Arabidopsis thaliana: one gene and its partners. The protein of the gene in region 1 interacts with the protein of each later gene in a pairwise test. Each region holds a gene or a part of one and is shown in the gene's direction. Other genes may lie near its edges.

The links.
Region 2: the proteins of ZML1 (region 1) and FRS3 interact in binary tests that used the Arabidopsis thaliana proteins (3 or more experiments, as listed by UniProt).
Region 3: the proteins of ZML1 (region 1) and OCP3 interact in binary tests that used the Arabidopsis thaliana proteins (3 or more experiments, as listed by UniProt).

What each region holds. Positions count from the first base shown.
Region 1 is NC_003074.8:7,419,277-7,426,718, forward strand, and holds ZML1 (ZIM-like 1), read left to right. Parts: upstream 1-2,759; 5' UTR 2,760-2,945; intron 2,946-3,545; 5' UTR 3,546-3,555; coding exon 3,556-3,849; intron 3,850-3,965; coding exon 3,966-4,058; intron 4,059-4,131; coding exon 4,132-4,265; intron 4,266-4,353; coding exon 4,354-4,485; coding exon of another isoform or gene 4,486-4,489; exon of another isoform or gene 4,490-4,856; coding exon 4,857-4,962; intron 4,963-5,089; coding exon 5,090-5,161; intron 5,162-5,259; coding exon 5,260-5,322; 3' UTR 5,323-5,629; downstream 5,630-7,442. Other genes in the region: AT3G21170 (F-box/associated interaction domain protein), read left to right, coding at 697-1,884; ACA9 (autoinhibited Ca(2+)-ATPase 9), read left to right, coding at 6,494-6,796, 6,893-6,932, 7,020-7,132, 7,203-7,334, 7,429-7,442. UniProt on the Arabidopsis thaliana protein: Transcriptional activator that specifically binds 5'-GATA-3' or 5'-GAT-3' motifs within gene promoters.
Region 2 is NC_003071.7:11,575,081-11,583,911, reverse strand, and holds FRS3 (FAR1-related sequence 3), read left to right. Parts: upstream 1-3,094; 5' UTR 3,095-3,506; coding exon 3,507-5,660; intron 5,661-5,742; coding exon 5,743-5,832; intron 5,833-6,101; coding exon 6,102-6,251; intron 6,252-6,590; coding exon 6,591-6,707; intron 6,708-6,898; coding exon 6,899-6,943; 3' UTR 6,944-7,244; downstream 7,245-8,831. Other genes in the region: TIL2 (DNA polymerase epsilon catalytic subunit), read right to left, coding at 1-33, 310-444, 536-622, 1,036-1,253, 1,332-1,420, 1,526-1,686, 2,088-2,183, 2,256-2,315 and 2 more; SE (C2H2 zinc-finger protein SERRATE (SE)), read right to left, coding at 7,555-7,615, 7,708-7,866, 7,975-8,234, 8,350-8,398, 8,479-8,831.
Region 3 is NC_003076.8:3,593,687-3,600,456, reverse strand, and holds OCP3 (overexpressor of cationic peroxidase 3), read left to right. Parts: upstream 1-3,219; 5' UTR 3,220-3,380; coding exon 3,381-3,620; intron 3,621-3,807; coding exon 3,808-4,185; intron 4,186-4,362; coding exon 4,363-4,680; intron 4,681-4,771; coding exon 4,772-4,900; 3' UTR 4,901-5,183; downstream 5,184-6,770. Other genes in the region: AT5G11290 (transmembrane protein, putative (DUF247)), read right to left, coding at 230-1,498; AT5G11280 (tail fiber), read right to left, coding at 2,110-2,406, 2,491-2,722, 3,036-3,136; HY5 (Basic-leucine zipper (bZIP) transcription factor family protein), read left to right, coding at 5,657-5,753, 5,984-6,167, 6,278-6,539. UniProt on the Arabidopsis thaliana protein: May modulate chromatin structure by regulation of nucleosome assembly/disassembly.

The sequences.
Region 1 (7,442 bases):
TAAGGCCAATTTTATTTTACAAGTGCCTTGGGACTATAGGTAGATAGATTCAGGTACATTAGCAAATGCAAAATGAGAATTGATTTATCAAACTTTTAGTGAAATACACATTTTAATTTATTAGTCTATTAAATATGTAAGTATGATGACTTCATGAAAAATTAAAGGAGTAGGGCAGAGATATATAATGTTCAAAGATATAACCCCACAAGTCAATTATTACTTAGAAGCATTTTGAGTTATACAATAGAAATATATTAAGTATATATATGATCTTCCCATATTTATTGAGTAAGTAAAAAGAAAAAAAATGATCTTCCCATATTTATATAAAATTATTTACATTTAATTTTAATTGAATATGCTTTTAATGTTACAAAATTATAACCACAGAAATAGAAAAAATTAATAATGATAAATAAATGTTGAGAAAAAAGAAAGATAGTAAGAATTAAATTTAGGAAAAAAAGAAGTTAAAAATCTGTGTGGACAAAAAGAAAAAATCTCCATATTTATTAGTGTAAAGGATAAAATAAAAGACAATTACGTGATCTCCTCCTTCCTATATATATAAATGATCTTCCCATATTTATAGAGTAAATCAAAGAAAAAAAAAGAAGAAGATTAAAAATCTTGATTCTATCGTCTCTCCATCTTGATTCTTTGAAAATTGGTTTAATCACAGTCGTGTGAGAGATGATGACGTTCAACGACCTTCCGGAGGATTTGGTAGTGGAGATACTCTCTAGAGTTCCGGCTGTATTTCTAGCACGATTACGATCAACATCCAAACGATGGAACACTTTGATCAAAGATGGGAAACTTTCTAAGAAGCACTCTTCTAATGCTCCAAGGCACTCTATGGCTCTCGTGTTGATTGATCATAAGGTTTATTCAGTGAGATCCAATCTCCGTGGAATTCACAATAGCGTTGCTCCATATGTTAACATAACATGTCATTTTAGCCTAAAAGAACATCTTTCTAATAATTATTCAACAGAAGTCGATATAGGCCACGTCTTTCACTGCGATGGCTTATTGCTATGCACCACCAAGGACTATAGACTGGTGGTTTGGAATCCGCTTTCAGGTGAAACAAGGTGGATTCAACCAAGATTTTGCTACAAGAAAGATGACTGCTATGCTCTCGGTAGATCCTCTTGCAACAAGTACAAAATCTTGAGGCAGGGTCGTCTTATCAATCCTAGCGAAGAACGTTACGTGTACAACATCGTGGGGGAGGATCTTGTTATCAACAATAGCCAAGAACGTTACGAGTACGAAATCTATGACTTTAACTCTAATTCGTGGAGGAGTATTGGTGTGATCACCGGCTTGTTCAATCCAAATATCACCAGTGGCGTGTCTGTAAATGGAATCACTTACTGGTTTGATATTAGTGAACAATTCTTACTAAGTTTTGATTTCTCAACAGAGAGATTTGGAAGTGAGTCTCTCCCAGAGGGTGATAGTCATTTGGCTTTATCAGTGACTAGACAAGGGAAACGACTTTGTATGTTATCTACTAATTACACATACGTAACCGGAACAAACGTTAACTTATGGATAGCAACGAAGACTAGTGAGAACACCAGAGCAATGTCATGGAGCAAGTTCCCAATACTGCGGGGCGGAGTTGGTCTACGCTATCGTTGTCATTTTAGGGAAGGGGTGAGTTTCTTCGCATACCAAGTTAAGGAGAAGATTGTTGTAGTTTCTTGTCATAGACCCAACCGGCACTCCAAGGACATCATACACATTGTGGAAAATGATAAATTCATAGAATTGGATCATCATGGTGCAAAACCTACACATGAATTATCTCCTACCCCACGTCTCCTCATATATGTTCCAAGTTTGGTTCAAATTCAACATGGTATTTAGTTCTTTGGAGGAGGCACCAAGTCAGCCAGTGCATGGCCTTGTAATTGTCACACTAGTCTATGCATTATCTAATCTAACTCTTGATATTTTATAAGTAAGATATATGTACGCATTTCTAAGTTATAACTTGTTGCTACCCTTTTGCTAGTGGATAATTCGAGGCACATGGCATTTTCATAATTGGTCAATTAGTTATTAAGTACCAAAATTTTGAAAAGGAAAAAAATTAGAAATGCTTAGAACATATTAGAGCAAAACATATGTAAATTTTGTGCAAGAATAAGGGAAAAGCAAATAAAATCAAAATAAAATTGTATATTGTGGAATTAAGAAATGAAAGAGGAACGCAATTTAGTTTTAAAATCTGACATATTAGATATAGTTGAGTCAATTGTTTTCCACCGAAGAATTGGTTGTGGTTCCATCTAACTTAAGATATTTTGTGTTAAGATGGTTTATTTGTAGAGATATATTATAATTATATATGATTTCTAACCAAAACAACAAGAAGTTTTTAAAGATGGGTACAAATTGAATTAACTAATGTAATTCCACATTGTCATTTGGTAAAAGAAAGATATCTTGACAAAAGAGATTAAAAGAATTATGTGAAAAACCTTGGCGACCTTAAACCATCTCCAATGTCTTTATATCTTTGGCATCATTAAGAGTAAATGTGTATCTTGATCAAACCTGAAACCACTAAAGAAAAACATATGAACTCAAATAGAGGCCAATTAAAGATGAGGTCCAAAGAATAGGGAGTGTCAAGCCTTTCACAAAGACGACGCCGTTTGGCTAAAAAAGGCCCAAGATCACAACGACGACGTTTGCTGAAGAAAAATGAAAAATCTTTCACTACAATCATTAGACCAAAAAAGAAAAAAAAAATCAAAGGAGCTTCCTTTTTTCGCTCTCGTCTCCGTTTACCCTTTTGGGATTTTTCCCTAAACCTTTTTCTCTCTTTGTATAATCAAATCCTCTTTATCTTTCATTGTTTCGCGTGAATTAGCTCTGCAAAGGCTCTTCATTCTTCTCGCTTGGATTCCTCTGCACAAAAGGTACCCATTTGATGTCAATTTTGGTTTATTGTTTTGATTGCCCTGTCCAAGTGACAAGTCTTTGTATGTATGATATAGGTAGTGGGTTCTAGTTTGTAGATGAACTTGTCGAATTTGGAGGGTTTTTAGTTGGAAGCATTTATATGTGGGATTTGGAATTGTTCTGTCTATTTGTTCTTAGCTTAAAGGTTGGGACTTAGCTTAGGACTTATGAGCATGAGAGAAGGAGACTTTTTTTCCAATTCGAATCTGATTGATGAAACTTTTTTTACTGGATTTGGGTAGATATTGTTACGTTTTAAGGTAGTTGACTGTTGTTAGTTGTTGTTTACTCGAGATTAGATTATTGTCATCTACTCTTGTTATAAAAGAAGCTCCTTTGTACTATATCAGTGCTGATAACTATTAATGAAGTTCCTTTCCCTTAGGTGGAGATAGTTTCTTTGTATTTGCAAACTCAATTTATGTGAGAATATATCCACCATTATTGAGTTTCTTCAACCTATACCGTCTCTGACAATCTCGCTTTTTCGTTATTAAGAACGTTCCAGTCTTAATTAATGTTATCTTCCTTTGGATGTAATTGGTAACAAATTGCAGAAAAAAGACCATGGATGATCTTCATGGAAGAAATGGTCGAATGCACATTGGTGTAGCGCAAAATCCAATGCATGTGCAGTATGAAGATCACGGTTTGCACCATATCGACAATGAAAACAGTATGATGGATGACCATGCTGATGGTGGGATGGATGAAGGAGTGGAGACAGACATTCCTTCTCACCCTGGAAACTCAGCTGATAATCGTGGTGAAGTTGTAGACCGTGGAATTGAAAATGGAGATCAATTGACATTGTCCTTCCAGGGACAAGTTTATGTTTTTGACCGTGTCTCGCCTGAGAAGGTAACTTTAAGTTAATTTTGGTTCTTTGATGTTTTAGTTTTGGATACATATGGTCAACGTATCCACCTGGTTGGTTTTGTTTTTCGCTTATTGAAGTGCTGCTCAATATTATGCAGGTTCAAGCTGTGCTTTTGTTACTTGGTGGAAGGGAAGTACCACATACACTCCCAACAACCCTAGGATCACCTCATCAGAACAATAGGGTACTGGTAATAAAAGATTTAATACCATATGGGAAATCAGTTTATTCCCCAGTTTGTTGCTGACTAATAAATGAACCAGGGTCTATCTGGTACTCCTCAACGGCTTAGCGTTCCGCAGCGGTTAGCTTCTTTGCTCAGGTTTAGGGAGAAACGAAAAGGGAGGAACTTTGATAAGACTATTCGCTATACAGTCAGGAAAGAAGTAGCCTTGAGGTACGTTTATGTCAAGTACTAGCTTTTGTGTATGTCGAGCTTTTGAGATACGTCTGTTTTGCAATTAAGGTTTTGTTTGTTCATGCAGAATGCAGCGTAAGAAAGGTCAGTTCACGTCGGCTAAATCAAGCAATGATGATTCTGGATCCACTGGATCGGATTGGGGGTCAAACCAGAGCTGGGCCGTAGAAGGGACTGAGACTCAGAAGCCAGAGGTTTTGTAAGTTGAAAATGCTTTAAATTTCTTACAACAGTTATATTAACTTTAGTGAACTCGTTATAAAACCTCAATTAAGTCTAATACATGGAAACAATTTATTTGGTAACCATTTAATGACGCTCTTTTCACTTCCATAAACTTTGTCTATATACGTCAACTCTGAAATTTATAGTTATACTTATCATGATGGCATCACTCATTCGATACCTGCAACTGATAACTTATACTTGTGAGAGGATAAAAATAACTGAACCGACTATGTTGTTGCATGTTAAGTCATTGTAGTTGATATGAACTTATTTATAGCTTGGTATACTTGGAAAGCTTGTCTCTGTTCTTATTCTTCGTCAAATGGTTGTGAACATGTTAAGATGTCGACACTGTGGAACAAGTGAGAAGTCAACTCCAATGATGCGACGTGGACCTGATGGGCCAAGAACACTTTGTAATGCGTGTGGACTGATGTGGGCAAACAAGGTAAGCTAAGAGTTTCTTAGTTCACATTGATCACCTCGTCTCGTATCACTTTTTTGACTCATTGATCAGGCCTATATATCCGAGTATGAACCTAACAATAACATTCCCTTTGACTTTATAATATCAGGGGACTCTTAGAGACCTATCCAAAGTCCCTCCTCCGCAAACACCTCAGCATCTATCTCTGAATAAGAATGAGGTGAGCCGTGAGCGCAGTATTTCATAGAGCTGGAGTTTTGATTTGCTTATTAAGAGAACATACATTCATTTTTTTTTTCTCAATCACTTTTGTTGCAGGACGCAAATCTTGAGGCTGATCAAATGATGGAAGTAACTGGTGACATTAGCAACACACAGTGAGAACTGAGAAACCATTGGAAGCAAGAAAGGATCTCAAACAAAAACAGTTGTTATCATTTCATTTGATGATGGAATCGAATCTGAGTTGTGTTTAGGGTTTCTCTGGGTTAATCTCAGTCTATGTGGGCACATTTTAGTCTTCTACAAATTATAAGACACTCTTCACTTATTTAGAAGCTCACTCATCAGAAAAGAAAAAAAAAACTTTGCTCAGTCTCTCATCTGTGTGTTTGATTATATTTTCAGGCAGAAAACTTTTTTTTGTTCTTGTATTTGATTACAATTAGTTAAATATTTAAGACTTAGTAGAGATAATGCAATCTATGTATAAAAATAGAAACAATGATTGGTTATGTCGTGCAACCCAAGTGACCTTAATGTCGTACACACGTTCATCAGGTTAAAACGAAATTTCTCAGCAACTTCACTATTCTCTCTGTCACATTGTTTTATTCTTTTCCATTATCTTTATTGGAAACTTGATTAGAAAGAACTGATTAAGGTATGAAGATAATTAGTGTACCATTCTTCACATGATACGAGGTGAACAATAGTATATCAGAATACTAGAATAATTTTATAAGTTATAAAGATGAATGGTATACCACTTATTACAAAACGAAAACATAGTTAGATCTGAGAAGAAGGAAAGATTTTTGTTTTAAAAAATGAGATGGTTAGATATATGCCATGTTAAGAGATGCCACCATGTTCTTCTTCTTCTTCTTACCCGGAAAAAACTCTTTCTTCTTCTCTTTCCCATAAAAAGAAACAAAAAAAAACTAACTTCCCACAAATTTTGCCAAACCAAACCAAAAATAGTAATGATCTCATTCAATTTGAACCCTCTCTCCATTTTCTTTCATAGTTTTTTTTTAGGGTAAATCAAAATATTAATGTTGGTTAGAAACTCAAAAATTAGTTTCTCTTTTTTTTCTCTGTGATTGACAGAGAGGTAAGAGAAAAAAAAGAGAGAAAGTGTTTCGGTTTTTGTTGCCTTCTCTCGAGTTAGGCCTTCTCTCTTCCGTCACACCATCATTTTTTTTCTCCATAACGACCAAATCATAAAACCGGTCGTTCCTATTTTTTCTTTCTCTGCGTTTTTTGTTTCGAATTCTTCAATAGAATTTTAAAAGAAAGAAGAAAGCTGGGTGAGACGAAGGAAGGAAGAATGAGCACTTCGTCGAGCAACGGATTGCTTCTGACGTCAATGTCAGGACGTCATGACGACATGGAAGCTGGTTCTGCTAAAACTGAAGAACATTCTGATCATGAAGAGCTTCAACATGATCCTGATGATCCTTTTGATATTGATAACACCAAGAACGCTTCTGTTGAATCTCTTCGTCGTTGGAGACAAGCCGCTCTTGTGTTGAACGCATCGCGTCGGTTTCGATACACTTTGGATCTTAATAAAGAAGAACATTATGATAATCGAAGGAGGATGATCAGAGCTCATGCTCAAGTCATTAGGGTATGTATTTTCTTTATATAATTCTTCCTATCATTTCAACAACAATGTTGTTTGTTTAATTGAATCTCACATCGATAAATCACTTTTATGAATCAGGCAGCATTGCTTTTTAAACTGGCTGGTGAACAACAAATTGGTATGATCTCTTATAAGTCAAGCAAATCTCTGTTTTGTTTTCTGGTTTCTTGTTGAATAATCTTTAGTTTCTTTTGGTATCAATTAGCGTTTGGATCATCAACACCAGCAGCTTCTACTGGTAACTTTGACATTGATCTTGAAAAGCTTGTGTCTATGACAAGGAACCAGAACATGTCCAATTTGCAGCAATATGGAGGGGTATGATTCAAGACTCACACATTCCATAAATAGGAAGGTTTCTTGATGCTGACATTAATATATCTTTCAGGTCAAAGGTGTTGCAGAGAAGTTGAAGTCAAATATGGAACAAGGAATCAATGAGGATGAGAAAGAGGTGATAGATAGGAAGAATGCTTTTGGATCTAACACTTACCCAAAAAAGAAGGGGAAAAACTTTTTTGTAAGCAAAGAGTCTTTTACAACTTCTTCGACCGTGTTTTTATCGGTTTGTGGATACTCATATGTTTTTTTTCAACTTTCTGTTTGTCCAAAAGATGTTCCTCTGGGA
Region 2 (8,831 bases), on another chromosome or scaffold:
ACCTTGATTTTGATCACAACGGAATCCCAACTCCTGCAACCACGATGGAAGGAAAAAAAAAAACATTATGCCCTGGGGATGGGAAATAGAACCGAGGTCTGGTAGATGAGTGCCACCTTGCCAATTCTAAGAAAACTTCAGAATTCAAACGCAAAACACATTACTAATCTAGTTTTAAGCAGAGGCACATTCACAAGGTGACAACAAAATATCAGTGAATAATGTCACAAAGAATTTCTCAAGTAGATCATATATTTGATGCAGACAGAATATTTTGTTAGCAATACCACAGTGAAGGAAACGTGATACCTCGTTCATTTTGATCCCATGATGAGATGCTCTCCGTTCTATAAATGGCCAGTCAAAAAAGTCACCGTTGTATGTAACATAAATACCAGGTTTCAACTCTTGCATATGAGAAAACCATTTTCGGAGGAGTTCAACCTATACAAATCAAAACCAAGAAAGTAACTTAATTCTAAGCACCTCAATCTTTCTGATACAAATATTCAAATCAAGAGCTAATTTACTTTACCTCGTTGGTAACATTCGTGACTTTGAAATACCCTTCAAACTCTGGTTTGGGTGTATATTCCAGATCTTCTATGTCTTTGCCAACACACTGAATTAAGAAGTGCAAAGTTAATACTACAAATTTTATCAAACAAGATTGAAGTGGCCCAAATATTTAAAAGAAATAATAGAGCTGAGATATCAACCAGAGATGATATATCCAATGGAAAATTGTTAAGAAAAAAAATTCATGTTTTAAATTACATAGCAAAACGTTATGTTAGTCCACAACAATAAGTCTTACAGTCACACATCAATCAATCAAACAAGCGGGATAATTTCGTATGGATCATATCTGATTTATCTTGGATTAAGAATGCAATCAAAATAATCCAAATTCACATAAGGGCTATATAGCAGCTTATCTACGTTTATGATTTGGAAACGGTCATCATCCATCATGTAATATATCATCATTGATTAGATCAAATCCAATGCAATACAAATGTATGCAGCAGTTACCTCTCTGTTAGTAATTAGAAAACCTTGCCCATCAACCATGTAGGATATCATCATAATTTGATCATATTCAGCATCCGGGAACTTCAATGGAAGCTTTACTGTCTCTATATCGAATGCACAAACGCGAACTTCTGCGCGTTGGAGAAGATCCGTCCTCTTCTCTAGTATGACATCAGTGCTGGAAATACTGACATTGTACCATTGCCCACTACGCACATCTGGACAGCGAGAACACATCATGATTTTGACAACCTTGAGGGCTAAACTAGGATTAAAAGTTTGACTAAATAGGTTACCATTATCAATTGCAAATCGGACATGATAAGGAACATCGTACTCGCGGAGGTCCACCACAGAGTCTAAGCAGTCTTGAGGACGTTGTTCTCTACATTCCAAGACTTGGAAATTATAACTAAGGAACAACATAGTTTTAAGGGATAAATTTGTAAGAACTCTGGAAATTTATAAGAACAAAAATACATTGCCTTACCGTTTTCCAGACAAGATGGATTCGTAAGCTTCAAGTGCATTAAATTTTGCGAGGTTTCGTTCGACAATATGCAACAGATCCCTCTTTACTTCCACCAATTGTTGCACAGTGTCAAATGATACTTTGAGATATTTTTTTTGCAGGCCAGATAGATGATTTTTCTGCTCATGAACATAAGAAATCAAGAAACTCAAATTGGTATGGTAGGTCAAAGAAAAGGTCAGCAAAAGTGACAACCAAACAAGAGGTACTGAAAACGTTCATATCTTGCATAATGTTGCCACTAAAGAAGAAGCATTAAACACTTAAACATTTACTAGCAAACGTTTTTTGAGTTACAAGAACGTTTTTGGCAGGCTAGATAGATGATTTGAGCACATGGAAGCAAGATCAGTTTTGGACTTATTACTAGAGCTGCTCAATTTGAAGTTGCAAGAAGAGGAAAATAACTAAAAGTTGTAGCAAATGTAATTGACATGAGTCCTCTATATAGAGAGAAAGAAACGAGTAATCAACAGGTAGTTGCAAACTGCGTAAAAGGAGTTATGCTTTAGTGACTTACAAGATAAAGATCTTCTTTGTGAACAATCTGAATATCAGCAACTTGTCTTTCATATCGGCGTCTCAAGTAGGCTTCAACTTCCAGTTCCATATTGTCCTGTAAAAAGGGCATTGCAGTTTAGTTGACATATAGGAAGAAAACACTCGAGTACAGAGAGAACATATATACTTTGGTGGCGGCATACAAGTAAGGGCGGAACTTGTACTTAGTCTTAAAAGAAGAGCCGTCCTGAAAGAAACAAAAAGGGTTGAGCAACTGATACGAAGAAAGAAGCTAATATAGTAGCAATGACCACAGCTGACCTGAGTGACAAAGAAAAGGTCCACACAACTAAAGGTTTTCCCAGTATCGGCATCTTCCCAAGATGACTGCCAACAACGTAGTATAATAACCAATCAGTGAGTGTACTTAGAAGTTTTCAGTATTCAGAGAACTAACTACTAGGGAAGTCACAAAACGTGACTTACTGATGCAAACGTGAGTAGCCACCCGAGCCGCGTTTCCCCTTGGGAGAAAAGCCCAAATCCAAGTTTAGTTTCGAGTTCATCTGCCGCTGAAACTTTCTGCACATTCAACCTCCGATCACATCTCCTTCCGCTCATATTTGGCCCACGCCGATGATGCTAAGAGACTCTTGTATTGATTGCTTGTGTTGCGTATTAAATAAATTAGGGTTCAAAACAAAGGGATTCGTGATTGACACTGGTACGGTGAAGAGATGGAACCAGATCAAATAAGAGAAGAGAGAATCATCTAGAACCTGAGATTCTTATGACGACAATACAAGGAAATGAAGTTGTCATCCGAAAATGAATTAGGGCTCAACTAAAAAAGACAGATGAAGAAGATGAAATGCTTTCGCGCGCGTTGTCTCTTGTATCAAGGGCTTTCCTGGTTGTTGGGTTCGGTTCAAATGAGGCCTCACTTTTTATGAGGGCTTTCTGTTGTTGGGTTTAGATTAAAACGAGGTCTCGCTATTTAAATTGAAAAAAAAAAACCAACAAAAGCACGAAACGACGTCGGTTTCGTGCTTGAATCTCTTCTTCCTCGCGAACGACTGAGAAGAAGCAGGAGTTTAATTTCCTCCGGTCGAATCTGAAAACGAAATAGCTGCCATAGCTTCTTCTCAATTTTCCCCAATTGTTGTTGCCCTTCTCCCTAATTTCACGACTTTCGATTCTTCTGAGTTCTGAGTTCTTCGCATCACTGACTGACGTAAGCTCCTCTTTCTCTCTTTTGCTTTCTCCTCTTTCTGGGTTTCTCTCTCTCTCAACAAACAATCGGAGAGTGAGAGATGCAAAAAGTCCTCATATTTATATGTTCGGAAGAAGATCTCCAAACACTAATAGTACTTTTTTGTAGACTATGAAGATGAGAAACATTTGTGTGAAATTAGAACTTCTCTACTAAGTGAAGGTTATGGATGTTCATTTGGTGGAAGAGAATGTGTCAATGGGGAATCATGAGATAGGAGATGAAGGAGATGTTGAACCTAGTGATTGCAGTGGACAGAACAACATGGATAACTCGTTAGGGGTGCAAGATGAGATTGGAATTGCAGAGCCATGTGTTGGTATGGAGTTTAATTCAGAAAAAGAAGCTAAATCTTTCTATGATGAGTACTCGAGGCAGCTTGGTTTTACTTCTAAGCTTCTTCCTAGAACTGATGGGTCTGTTAGTGTTCGAGAATTTGTGTGTAGTAGTAGTAGTAAAAGGTCAAAGAGAAGGCTTTCTGAGAGTTGTGATGCAATGGTTAGGATAGAGTTGCAAGGTCATGAGAAATGGGTTGTTACAAAGTTTGTTAAAGAGCATACTCATGGATTAGCAAGTTCTAATATGCTTCATTGTCTTCGTCCTCGTAGGCATTTTGCTAACTCGGAGAAATCTAGTTATCAAGAAGGGGTTAATGTGCCTAGTGGTATGATGTATGTTTCTATGGATGCTAATAGCAGAGGAGCTAGAAATGCGTCTATGGCTACAAACACGAAGAGAACGATTGGACGGGATGCACATAATCTGTTGGAGTATTTTAAGAGGATGCAGGCAGAGAATCCTGGCTTTTTCTATGCGGTTCAGCTTGATGAAGATAATCAGATGTCAAATGTGTTTTGGGCTGATTCGAGATCTAGGGTTGCTTATACTCATTTTGGTGACACGGTTACCTTAGATACGAGGTACAGGTGCAATCAGTTTCGTGTTCCTTTTGCGCCATTTACTGGTGTGAATCATCATGGTCAGGCTATCTTATTTGGCTGTGCACTTATTTTGGACGAGTCAGACACTTCATTTATCTGGCTGTTCAAGACTTTTCTAACAGCAATGAGAGATCAACCGCCGGTTTCTTTGGTGACTGATCAAGATAGAGCCATACAGATTGCTGCTGGTCAGGTATTTCCAGGTGCTCGTCACTGTATTAATAAGTGGGATGTGCTAAGAGAAGGTCAGGAAAAGCTGGCTCATGTGTGTCTTGCGTATCCTAGTTTTCAGGTGGAGCTATATAATTGTATCAACTTTACTGAAACGATTGAGGAGTTTGAATCGTCCTGGAGTTCTGTCATTGACAAATATGACTTAGGAAGACATGAATGGCTTAATTCTTTATATAATGCTCGAGCTCAGTGGGTACCTGTTTATTTCCGGGATTCGTTTTTTGCTGCAGTGTTTCCTAGCCAAGGTTATTCGGGTTCCTTTTTCGATGGATATGTGAATCAGCAGACAACCCTTCCGATGTTCTTTAGGCTGTACGAAAGGGCTATGGAGAGCTGGTTCGAGATGGAGATTGAAGCAGATCTTGACACTGTCAACACACCTCCAGTCTTGAAGACGCCATCACCCATGGAGAATCAGGCTGCAAATCTCTTTACAAGGAAAATATTTGGAAAGTTCCAGGAAGAGTTGGTAGAGACATTCGCTCACACGGCAAACAGAATTGAAGATGATGGTACTACCAGCACATTTAGGGTTGCAAATTTTGAAAATGACAACAAAGCTTATATAGTAACGTTTTGCTACCCTGAAATGAGAGCAAACTGCAGCTGTCAAATGTTTGAGCACTCCGGCATACTCTGCCGACATGTTTTGACGGTGTTTACTGTCACTAATATACTCACTTTGCCACCACATTATATTTTGAGACGGTGGACAAGAAATGCCAAGAGCATGGTAGAGTTAGATGAGCATGTCAGTGAAAATGGGCATGATAGCTCGATACACCGCTATAATCATTTATGTCGCGAAGCCATCAAGTATGCTGAGGAAGGGGCAATTACAGCTGAAGCTTATAATATTGCTTTAGGGCAACTCAGAGAAGGTGGAAAGAAGGTTTCAGTTGTCAGGAAAAGGATAGGTAGAGCTGCGCCTCCTAGCTCACATGGTGGTGGAATTGGTAGTGGTGACAAGACCTCTCTATCAGCTGCTGACACAACCCCTTTGCTGTGGCCGCGCCAGGATGAAATGATACGCAGATTTAACCTTAACGATGGTGGGGCCAGAGCTCAATCTGTTTCTGATCTGAATCTGCCGCGTATGGCACCAGTGTCACTTCACCGAGATGATACTGCTCCTGAGAATATGGTACCCAGAGGAAACCTTTCACAGACTTATTTCTTTGATTCTATTGGTGTTGGTCAGTAACTTGATTTACTTTGTCTTACAGGTGGCTCTTCCTTGTCTTAAGTCATTGACTTGGGGGATGGAGAGTAAAAATACAATGCCGGGTGGTAGAGTTGCAGTTATCAATTTAAAGGTGTGCATTATATGAACCAGTAAATCTTTTCTGTAGGGTTTTGCAGTAACTTTTACTGAAAGTTGGTCTGATGGGATGCTTTATCTAAAAGAGATTAGATTTGTAAGAATAATGATCTTGAAGATTTGAACAATTGACATTCGCCTTTTCGGAAAAGTTACTGGCTATAGTGTAGGAAAATCAAAGTTGTTGCCATTAATAGTCTTGCTCGTTCCTGCAAAATAGTAGTTGACCGCTTTACTGAGGATTATTTTTCATGATGTTTTCAGTTGCACGATTACAGAAAGTTTCCCTCAGCAGACATGGATGTCAAATTTCAGCTGTCTAGCGTCACACTTGAACCCATGTTAAGGTCCATGGCTTACATTAGCGAGCAACTTTCATCTCCAGCCAATAGAGTAGCTGTCATCAATTTGAAGGTATGTCTTTTAGACTCTAGGCTCGTAGCTTCTCATGTAGTCTTCTTGACTTGACTAAACTCCTTTTAATTTATTGATTGTCTTTGGTTTGTTCTAACATAGATTCCATCTACCGTTAGTGTGTGAAACTTCTGTGTTGTTTGACTTGTTTAAGCTGATTCTCTCATTCATGTTAACTTGCCATACGTTTTGCAGTTATTTATACTAGCGTCACTACTTGAATATGAAATTTCATGTTTGATTACCAAAATCAATGTTTTACTCCATATTAGGGACTCTTAATTGAACTAGAAGGTTTCAACAGTGTGAAAAAATCTTCTTTTGTTTTCCTTACTCCAGCTTCAAGATACCGAGACAACAACAGGAGAATCAGAGGTCAAGTTTCAGGTGTCCCGAGATACACTAGGTGCCATGTTGAGATCAATGGCCTATATCCGTGAGCAGCTCTCAATCGTTGTAGGCACACTCCCTTTTTCTTTTTCTTTTTCCAAGTAGTAGTTATTAAATAATTACAAGGCCAATGATAGTTGAATTAGTAATAGTAACAGCAATCAATTAGGTTCATATCGACCTATAATTGTTCCTGAACTATTACTTGGTCTATGTATTGTCTTATAGAGTATCTAAACGGTATCTTGCATTTGCAGGGAGAGCTACAAACAGAATCTCAAGCAAAGAAGCAACGCAAATGATGTTGAGAGAGAGAAACAACCTCTGGAAAAGAAAACTTTGGAAAATGGTTGTTAACCTCATTAGAGCTCGTCTGTGATTAGTGTTGTTAGATTTACGATACAATGCCTTATGTGTAATTGTAACATGTGTAAGTGTCACGTCATCTACGCAAGTGTGTAGAATCTGGTAGGCATTGAGCCAGGCTTTGAAGTGTATATATCCTTCTTATTTACATTGAACCCTAAAAACCTGGATTCTTGTGGATAGTCATTCGTTTGACTGCAGATTATATTTAATGGCCATGGAGATTTAAGACTGCCATGGAGACTTAAGTATTGATAACAAACAATGTGGATAAAACGCATTATTCAATACAAGAAATTCTCATGCTATTTATGTAATCATCGTCGAACAGAATTAGTAAGAAAGCACATGAAAAATTTTGAAAAACAATAAGGAAATGTATGGAGTGCGTATTTTACGCTTTAGTGAGTGAAAATTGGGAGGAACAAGACATAATACATCAAAAGGGTAAGAAAATGCCACAATCTGCTAGCTTTGCCTTCTAATACTGATGCCCTTTAACCCAACCCGAACCAGTAAACTCGGGATCTCTCTAGCCCTGTCTTGTCTACAAGCTCCTGTAATCAATAACGGTCACTTCTTCCTCTGGAGCATCTAGGTCTTGGTAGCTGCACCAAATTTCTCATACATTAGTACCTTAGAGACACTGCACTCTTGATCATAGGGTAATGGACTCATAGCACAGAGTGAACTACGTTACCTGCGCAGCCGTCTAGGATCTTGTCTAAAGGCCGGAGACAACAGAAAAGGGGCAGGTCCACCTCTCCCGCTACCTTCAAAAGGAGGGTTGGGTCCACTTGGGTCCCTGAACATCTGCATAGCAACTTCAGGTGGTGCTGGTACAAATGGTCCCAGTGGCCTGACCACATCATCATTCAGACACATTAAGATCATTGATTCAACACAGTAACTAATTTATTCTGAAAACAAGATCATGAAGGGAGTGAGTAATCTTTATTAAACCTACCCAGCACCAGGAACAGGCATCAGCATTGGTGGTGGGTTTATATCCGATAAGAAGGGAGGAACATGAACACCACCTTGTCCACCAAATGCATCATACCCAACTTCCCCAGGATTTCCACCATCATTATCCCCTCTCTGTTGATCTTCTGACCGATCATTTCTGTCATTTCCATTAGCACGTCCATCACGCTCTCTGCGTCCACCTCTATCATCCCTCAGTCTGTTCTCCATGCTGGGTTTACGTCTTATAGGTCTATCTCTCTGTTGAAAGTATAATTAACCCACGTAAATAAAACTCAAACCAAGCTAAACAAGTGATAACCCAAAAGTACAGACTAGTCAACACTCCATTAAATCTCAAAAGAAGATCATGTACCGGGCCAGATTGCTGCGTGGCTGGTTGTCCTCCTGGAGCATTAGGATCACTGCAAATAGCACAAAAAAATTTCATTACGAACCTGTCAGAAACGACAGTAGAGGAATCCAAGAGAAAAAGCCTACATACTTCATATAGTTCTGAAAATACAGTTCTTCCCGAACTTTGGTAGTCAGCTCTGTGACAAGCTCAGTGTGTTTCAGCTTGAGATGCTTGTACACAAATTCAGCAGCATGAAACAGCTTCGTGCAGCCCTTGGCTCCACAACCATATTTCCAACCATACTTCTCATCTCTAATCTTTCGGACATGTGGATCTAAAGCTTCAGTAGCGGCAGCATCTATCTTCTCTTTGGCAGCCATCACTTCCAAGGGATCTTGACCTTTCAACCTCTCTTGCCAATGAGAGTCGAATTTACTTTCATTCTCATCTCCTTTTGCATCAGAAACTTTTCCTTCAGCTCTCACATGCCGCAAACCCTT
Region 3 (6,770 bases), on another chromosome or scaffold:
ACATCCCTCAGACTCTAATCTCCCTAATCTCAGTGAGTTTAGAAGCTTTCCTCACATCCCTCAGATTCTTTTCTCCCTAATCTCAGTCTAATGGCGACTGGATTCACATACAACATTCAACAAACCCACACACATAACTGGTAATCTTATGTTGCTTCTGTTACAAGATTCTCTGCATATATAACATTCCTCTTTCCCAACATTTGATTATCCTTTACTGTCTCACAAGTCATAAAGCTAATATAGAGCATATAGCCTGAACGAAAGTAAGAAGGAGAAGTACACAGGCAGCCACAACAGAAGCAGCTGACCAAGGATTGTGGAAATAATCACGTCTCAGAGTTGCTTTCCACTTGTTCCAAGGCGCATTGCAATGCGCTTGTAGATTCCCATAGACTGTCTTATAGTAAAACCCGCTGTAACTTGTCTCTTTCAATATGCTATTGAACAGCCTCGAAACGTCTTCTGCATTTCCAAATCTGTTCACAATGATCCCGTGGTCAATGAACAACTCAGCATCCATGGGAGATCTTATGAAGCAACTGAGGAACCTCATATAATGAATGAAGTAAGCATCTAAACGATGACATTGCTCAAACAAGATGATGTTTCTGTACAGAGATTCTGTGATGTCGTTGATCTTGATTTTGGGAATCGTGAGGACTCCGTTTGCAAAGCTTATGTCAAGTGCGCAGGTGTTGTTATCTGCGGGCTGGAGCTTAACACCGGCATTTTGAATCTCTTTTGCACTCAGTACAGAGTCCATCATCCTCATGCTTCCTCCAGGAAAACTCAAAACCAAAGGCAGGTGAATAGATCGCAGAAGGTCAACAAAATGACAGATCTTTGAATCAGAAATGCTTCTCGAAAATGAAGGGATGCTCATCCAGAATTTCTTGAAGTGGTTGTGAATGATTCGAGTCAGAGGGGGAAGTTCCCTATGGTAGTCAACATGTAGCAATCCAAACATCCCCTCGACAACAAAATATGGAAGCTGATTTTCAAGTAACATAACGTCATGGTTCACATCGACAATCATCTTTTGCTTCCCATATATCCTATCTAGCATACCTCTATATACATCAAACTGAGACCTCAAAAGAAGTTCTACTAGGAAGCTTGCATCAACGATTAACATCTTCACATATTCATCGCTACTAAGTCTTACATCTTCTGTGTAACAAAAGCGAGCCCTTTCTTCCCATGTCCTTGCAACTCTTACCAGGTCTTCCAAACTTAAGGCTGTTCTAGGAATAAAACTCTGTAGGTACCTAAGTTTATGATCTTCCATGGCTTGAAGTTCTTCTTTACCGTAGTGTAAGGGTCCAATCGACACAACCCGAGGCGAATAAGCATCGGGGTTCAATCTGCGCAGCCTCTCAGGTGCCTTATAGATACAACAGTTGGTTGAAAGAGAAGACAAAGATTCCAAGTTCTCTTTGATGGAATCCACAAGGGCATCACCTGGAAGGACTGTAATACCCTGATTCTGATCCATGTCTTATATGACTTCAACTACACCAGAGCTTTGAATTCTGTAAAGATGAGAGAAAACTTGTTTCTTGCACTACTGGAGAAAGAAATTGATAAAGAATTAGTCAGAAATTGAAAATGTCAATGGCAAATCGTTTGTGCCTTTCAAAAACACTATTTCATTTGACCAAGAAACGCATACCATTGGTAGGACTTAACCAAGTCATCCGAACCTCTCGTGGTGAATGTTATAGGCTTTTCGGTTAAGTAAAGAGACGCTATATTATATGGGGAAAGGGGGGACTTTATCAAGGATTCATTCCTCAAAAACTACAGTTAATAAGCTGTTACACGAACAAGTTGAAGAGCAAGATGGACGAATTATGAAACTGGAAGCAATACGATGGTTTTTCATTGGAACCCCTTGTATTGCTACTCATTTCAATTTTCGTATTTATGTGCTTTTTTGATATTGGAAGATATTGACTACTGAGCAGTGTCCTAGAAAATAGACAATTCATGAAACATAAGGTAACTGAGAGCAAAATATAGTGACAATGCCATTTTCCGGGACATTTTCCTTTCCCGGGTGTTGGTACAAAGACAGGACACAAGCCCTATTAAGTCTCAAAAAACTCACTTCAGCTTAGATTTTGAAGAGCTCATTAGAGGTTTAGCAATGGGACGAGCTGGAGCTGCCCTCGTGGCTTTCCTCAAGTCATACTTTATCATAGAGAAAGCGCAGATCATCGCAAGCACCATAGTTGGGTACACATAAACAGTTTTGGCTGGGTCAGTATTTACTGGCTTCCCTAAGATCCCTTCTTTAACAAGACCCCATACTAGTAGCAATGACCCAAACATGCTCATCCTTCCAGGCTTTAGCAAACCCACAAACGCCCCAGCTACAGAAAAGTAGCTCCCTGCAAGAACCTGTACAAAATGTATCACTTGTGAGACTATTAGTAGAATCTTAAGTGAACTGTGTTAGGAGCTCTTGAGATAGAATAAGCGAACCTCTAGGCGTTGAAGATCGGTCACTGCAGAAGCTTCTTTCACATTGGTGAGATTGTAGATATCTAACACATTTTCCCACTTTGGAAATGTCATGTTGATGGCAAGGCCATTGACTACAGCACCAGGGTATAAGAGAGCCTTAATCATCGGAACAGGAAAGATCTCACTAGAAATCAACTGAGACGATGTCACATGGATTGGCGATGAACACATACCAGATCTACATGGAACTCTGTTTTTAAGATTACGATTCAAGTCAGATCAACCAGAGAGACAAACAAACCAAGTAATGACTAATGATCCATATTATTAAGATTCTAATCAACTGATAAAATTTTGAATCAGCTTAGAGTTTCATACTAAAACCAGCTACACAAAAATGCGGAAACTTGAAAATGAATCAGAAATCAAGTTTTTCATTAATCAACCTTACGCAAGAGAAAGACTAAGCGTCGTCCACATATCGGATTCATAGACGCATCACTAGATAACGAAATATAGGGTTCGAATTACGCAGCTGAGAGTTTGTTTTAGTATGAATTTACCTGAAGAGAGGGATCTGGAATAAGATCAAGACGAAGTAAACCGATGAAGCCATAGACGTCCATTTCTTTATCCATCCCTTTGATTGCCCTGGGTTCGCCATTAACAAGCCCGCAAAGAAATCAAATCTAGAGAGAGAGAGAGAGATGCAGAGTGGACCCGTTGTTACCAGACGATAACGACGAAGAACAAAATAAATACTTTATAAACGACACGCTTTGCTACACTGTAAACACAAAACGGAGTCAGTGTTTAGATCTTTAAGGGATAAACGACGTCGTTTACAAAGATTCATATAAAAATCCGATTATTTTTCTCACTGCTGCTGAAAACAGCAAACAGTTTTGATGATAAAAGCCATGGCTCTATCTTCTGCCGGCGTCGTCTCTCATCTTCATCCTCCGTCGTTTTCTTCGTCGTCAGGATTATCCGTCAACAGAGTTCTGTTTCGGAATCGGAACGCTAGTCCTTGTGGTCTATCTCTTCCAATTCTCAATCCGTCTCGGTCTGTACTTGTTTTTGCTCGTGGCAAGAATCGAAAAGGATTCGTGTCTTCGTCTTCTTCGTCTCCGAAGAAAAACAAAAAGGTAAGAAAATCAGAATGAGAATGATTTATGTTCGCAATTGCTCTTACCTGCTGCTTTCGCCGAATTTGACTAGAATTTGGATACACTAACTAAGTGAGCTATTATCGGTTAGAATTGGTGAATCCTCGAATTAGACTTTGGCTCTTTTTGATTTTGTATCAGCCTTTGATTTCATGGTTTGTGGCAGAAAAGTTTGGATGGAGCTGATAATGGAGGAGGTGAGGAGGAGGAGGATCCATTTGAGGCATTGTTTAATCTTTTAGAAGAAGATTTGAAGAATGATAACTCGGATGATGAGGAGATAAGTGAGGAAGAGTTAGAGGCATTAGCCGATGAGTTAGCTCGAGCATTGGGTGTTGGTGACGATGTTGATGACATCGACTTGTTTGGTTCAGTCACTGGTGATGTTGATGTTGATGTTGATAATGATGATGATGATAATGATGATGATGATAATGATGATGATGATGATGACAGCGAAGAAGATGAAAGACCGACTAAGCTGAAGAATTGGCAGCTTAAAAGACTGGCTTATGCATTGAAAGCTGGGCGTCGTAAAACTAGTGTAAGTTTTAGTTCAGTGTTGAAGTGATGTTGAATACATTGTGTAAAGCATAGTGCTTGAGTTAGTGTCTGCTTTGGAGATTTTGCTTACGAATTGTTTAAGAGTTGACAAAGAACAAGTAGTTCTCTGGTTTTCAAATGCATAATTGATAACGGATGGTTTTGTTGTGATCTGTAGATTAAAAATCTGGCAGCTGAGGTTTGTCTTGACAGGGCTTATGTTCTTGAATTGCTTCGTGACCCGCCTCCAAAGCTGCTAATGCTAAGTGCTACACTACCAGATGAAAAACCGCCAGTAGCAGCACCTGAGAACTCCTCACCTGATCCAAGTCCTGTGGAATCATTATCAGCTGAAGATGTTGTGGTCGAACCTAAGGAAAAAGTAAAAGATGAAGCAGTTCATGTGATGCAACAGAGATGGTCTGCTCAGAAAAGAGTGAAGAAAGCTCACATTGAAACGCTAGAGAAAGTTTACAGAAGATCAAAACGACCCACTGTAAGGATTCTCCTTTTACATTTGAATCAATTTCTATGTTACTTGAATGCTCTATCTCACATATGATCATGTTTGATGATGCTGTGAATAGAATGCTGTGGTTAGCAGCATTGTTCAAGTGACCAATCTTCCAAGGAAGCGAGTTTTGAAGTGGTTCGAAGATAAAAGAGCAGAAGACGGAGTTCCAGATAAGCGAGCTCCATATCAAGCTCCGGTTTGATCTAATGTTAACGTTGAGATGGCAATGATTTGTATACTTGATTCTCAGAAACTCATCAACATTGTCGTCAAGGACAAGTTTTTTTGGTGATACGAGGAGTGTTTATAGTAGTAGATTCTGTCCAATGGTGTGGCTGGATATGTTGGACTATGAAATTTTAGGATATCTTGTATTCAGTTTTTAGTTATTTCCTTGCTGAGATTGTGTCTTGTAGAAAACCGTTTCAACTTTGTTTGGTTTATGGCGGCTATAAAGTTTAATTTTAATGCATGACAAAAACAAATCACCAAAAATAAAATAAATTACTTTCACGACACTTTTGAAAGCACTGCCCTAGGCGTGGGCCATGTGACAGAATGAAAGAACTCAGACCAAACTTTTCTGTCCAAGGACAGGAATGGGGCCCACCCAATTAGCTCCCCTATCCATTATTCACCGTAAGATGCTAACCAGATCTAACGGCTAAAATCCACCCACGTTCCAATCTCAATTGCCTTTGGATCCTTGTATTTCCTCAAGGCTCACCTTTCTCCACGATTCACTCTCGATATCCGTTCGATTCTTCAGAGATCTGACGGCGGTAGCCAGAGTAATCTATTCCTTCCCAAAATGTCTCGCAATTAGATTCTTTCCAAGTTCTTCTGTAAATCCCAAGTCCCGCTCTTTTCCTCTTTATCCTTTTCACCAGCTTCGCTACTAAGACAACAAATCTTTCCCTCTCTCTCTCGCCTGATCGATCTTCAAAGAGTAAGAAAAATGCAGGAACAAGCGACTAGCTCTTTAGCTGCAAGCTCTTTACCATCAAGCAGCGAGAGGTCATCAAGCTCTGCTCCACATTTGGAGATCAAAGAAGGTAAACAAAAATTGTCGATTGTTTTATTTTCATATCTTCTCCCAACGAGTGATCTCATTGATTTTCATTCTCATGCATTGGATATCTAGTAAATTCACATCTAGATTTTGTATCACCATTGATTCACATCTAGATTCACAACTTTTAGTCTCCCCCAGAAGATCTGCAATTTTTTATTGTATTTAAAAAGTTTGAAACTTTTCGTCTAAAGTCTCTTTTATGTTTTAAAGGAATTGAAAGCGATGAGGAGATACGGCGAGTGCCGGAGTTTGGAGGAGAAGCTGTCGGAAAAGAAACTTCCGGTAGAGAATCTGGATCGGCGACCGGTCAGGAGCGGACACAGGCGACTGTCGGAGAAAGTCAAAGGAAGCGAGGGAGGACACCGGCGGAGAAAGAGAACAAGCGGCTGAAGAGGTGTCTTTTTCTCTATTCATTGAATTTACATTTTTACCCTTTATATGGAAGGTGATTATGTTAAATAACGGTTGCGTGATGGGGTTGTTTGGTAATTTTGTGGTGAAAAGGTTGTTGAGGAACAGAGTTTCAGCTCAGCAAGCAAGAGAGAGGAAAAAGGCTTACTTGAGCGAGTTGGAAAACAGAGTGAAAGACTTGGAGAACAAAAACTCTGAACTTGAAGAGCGACTCTCTACTCTTCAGAACGAGAACCAGATGCTTAGACATGTACGTTTTGTCGATCTTACTGTTGACTTAACCTGCAACGTCAATGCTTTTGCCATTTGTTTTTTGATATATCACAGTACTGGTTTATCACATTTACGAGTCTAGGATTGACCAATAATTAGTTTAGTTAGTTAAAAGGATCTAAGAAGCTAACTTAAGCTTTAGATTAATTCTCAGAAGGCATGTAGGTTCTTGAAATGGTCATTCACTCGCATATTCTCTCAAAAGGCATGTAAATTCTTCAATGGTTCTTGAAATGCTCACTCATTTTGTTCTATATGAATGGAGAAGATGAGATTGCAAAGTTGGATCTCTATGTGTGTGTGTGGTAATAAA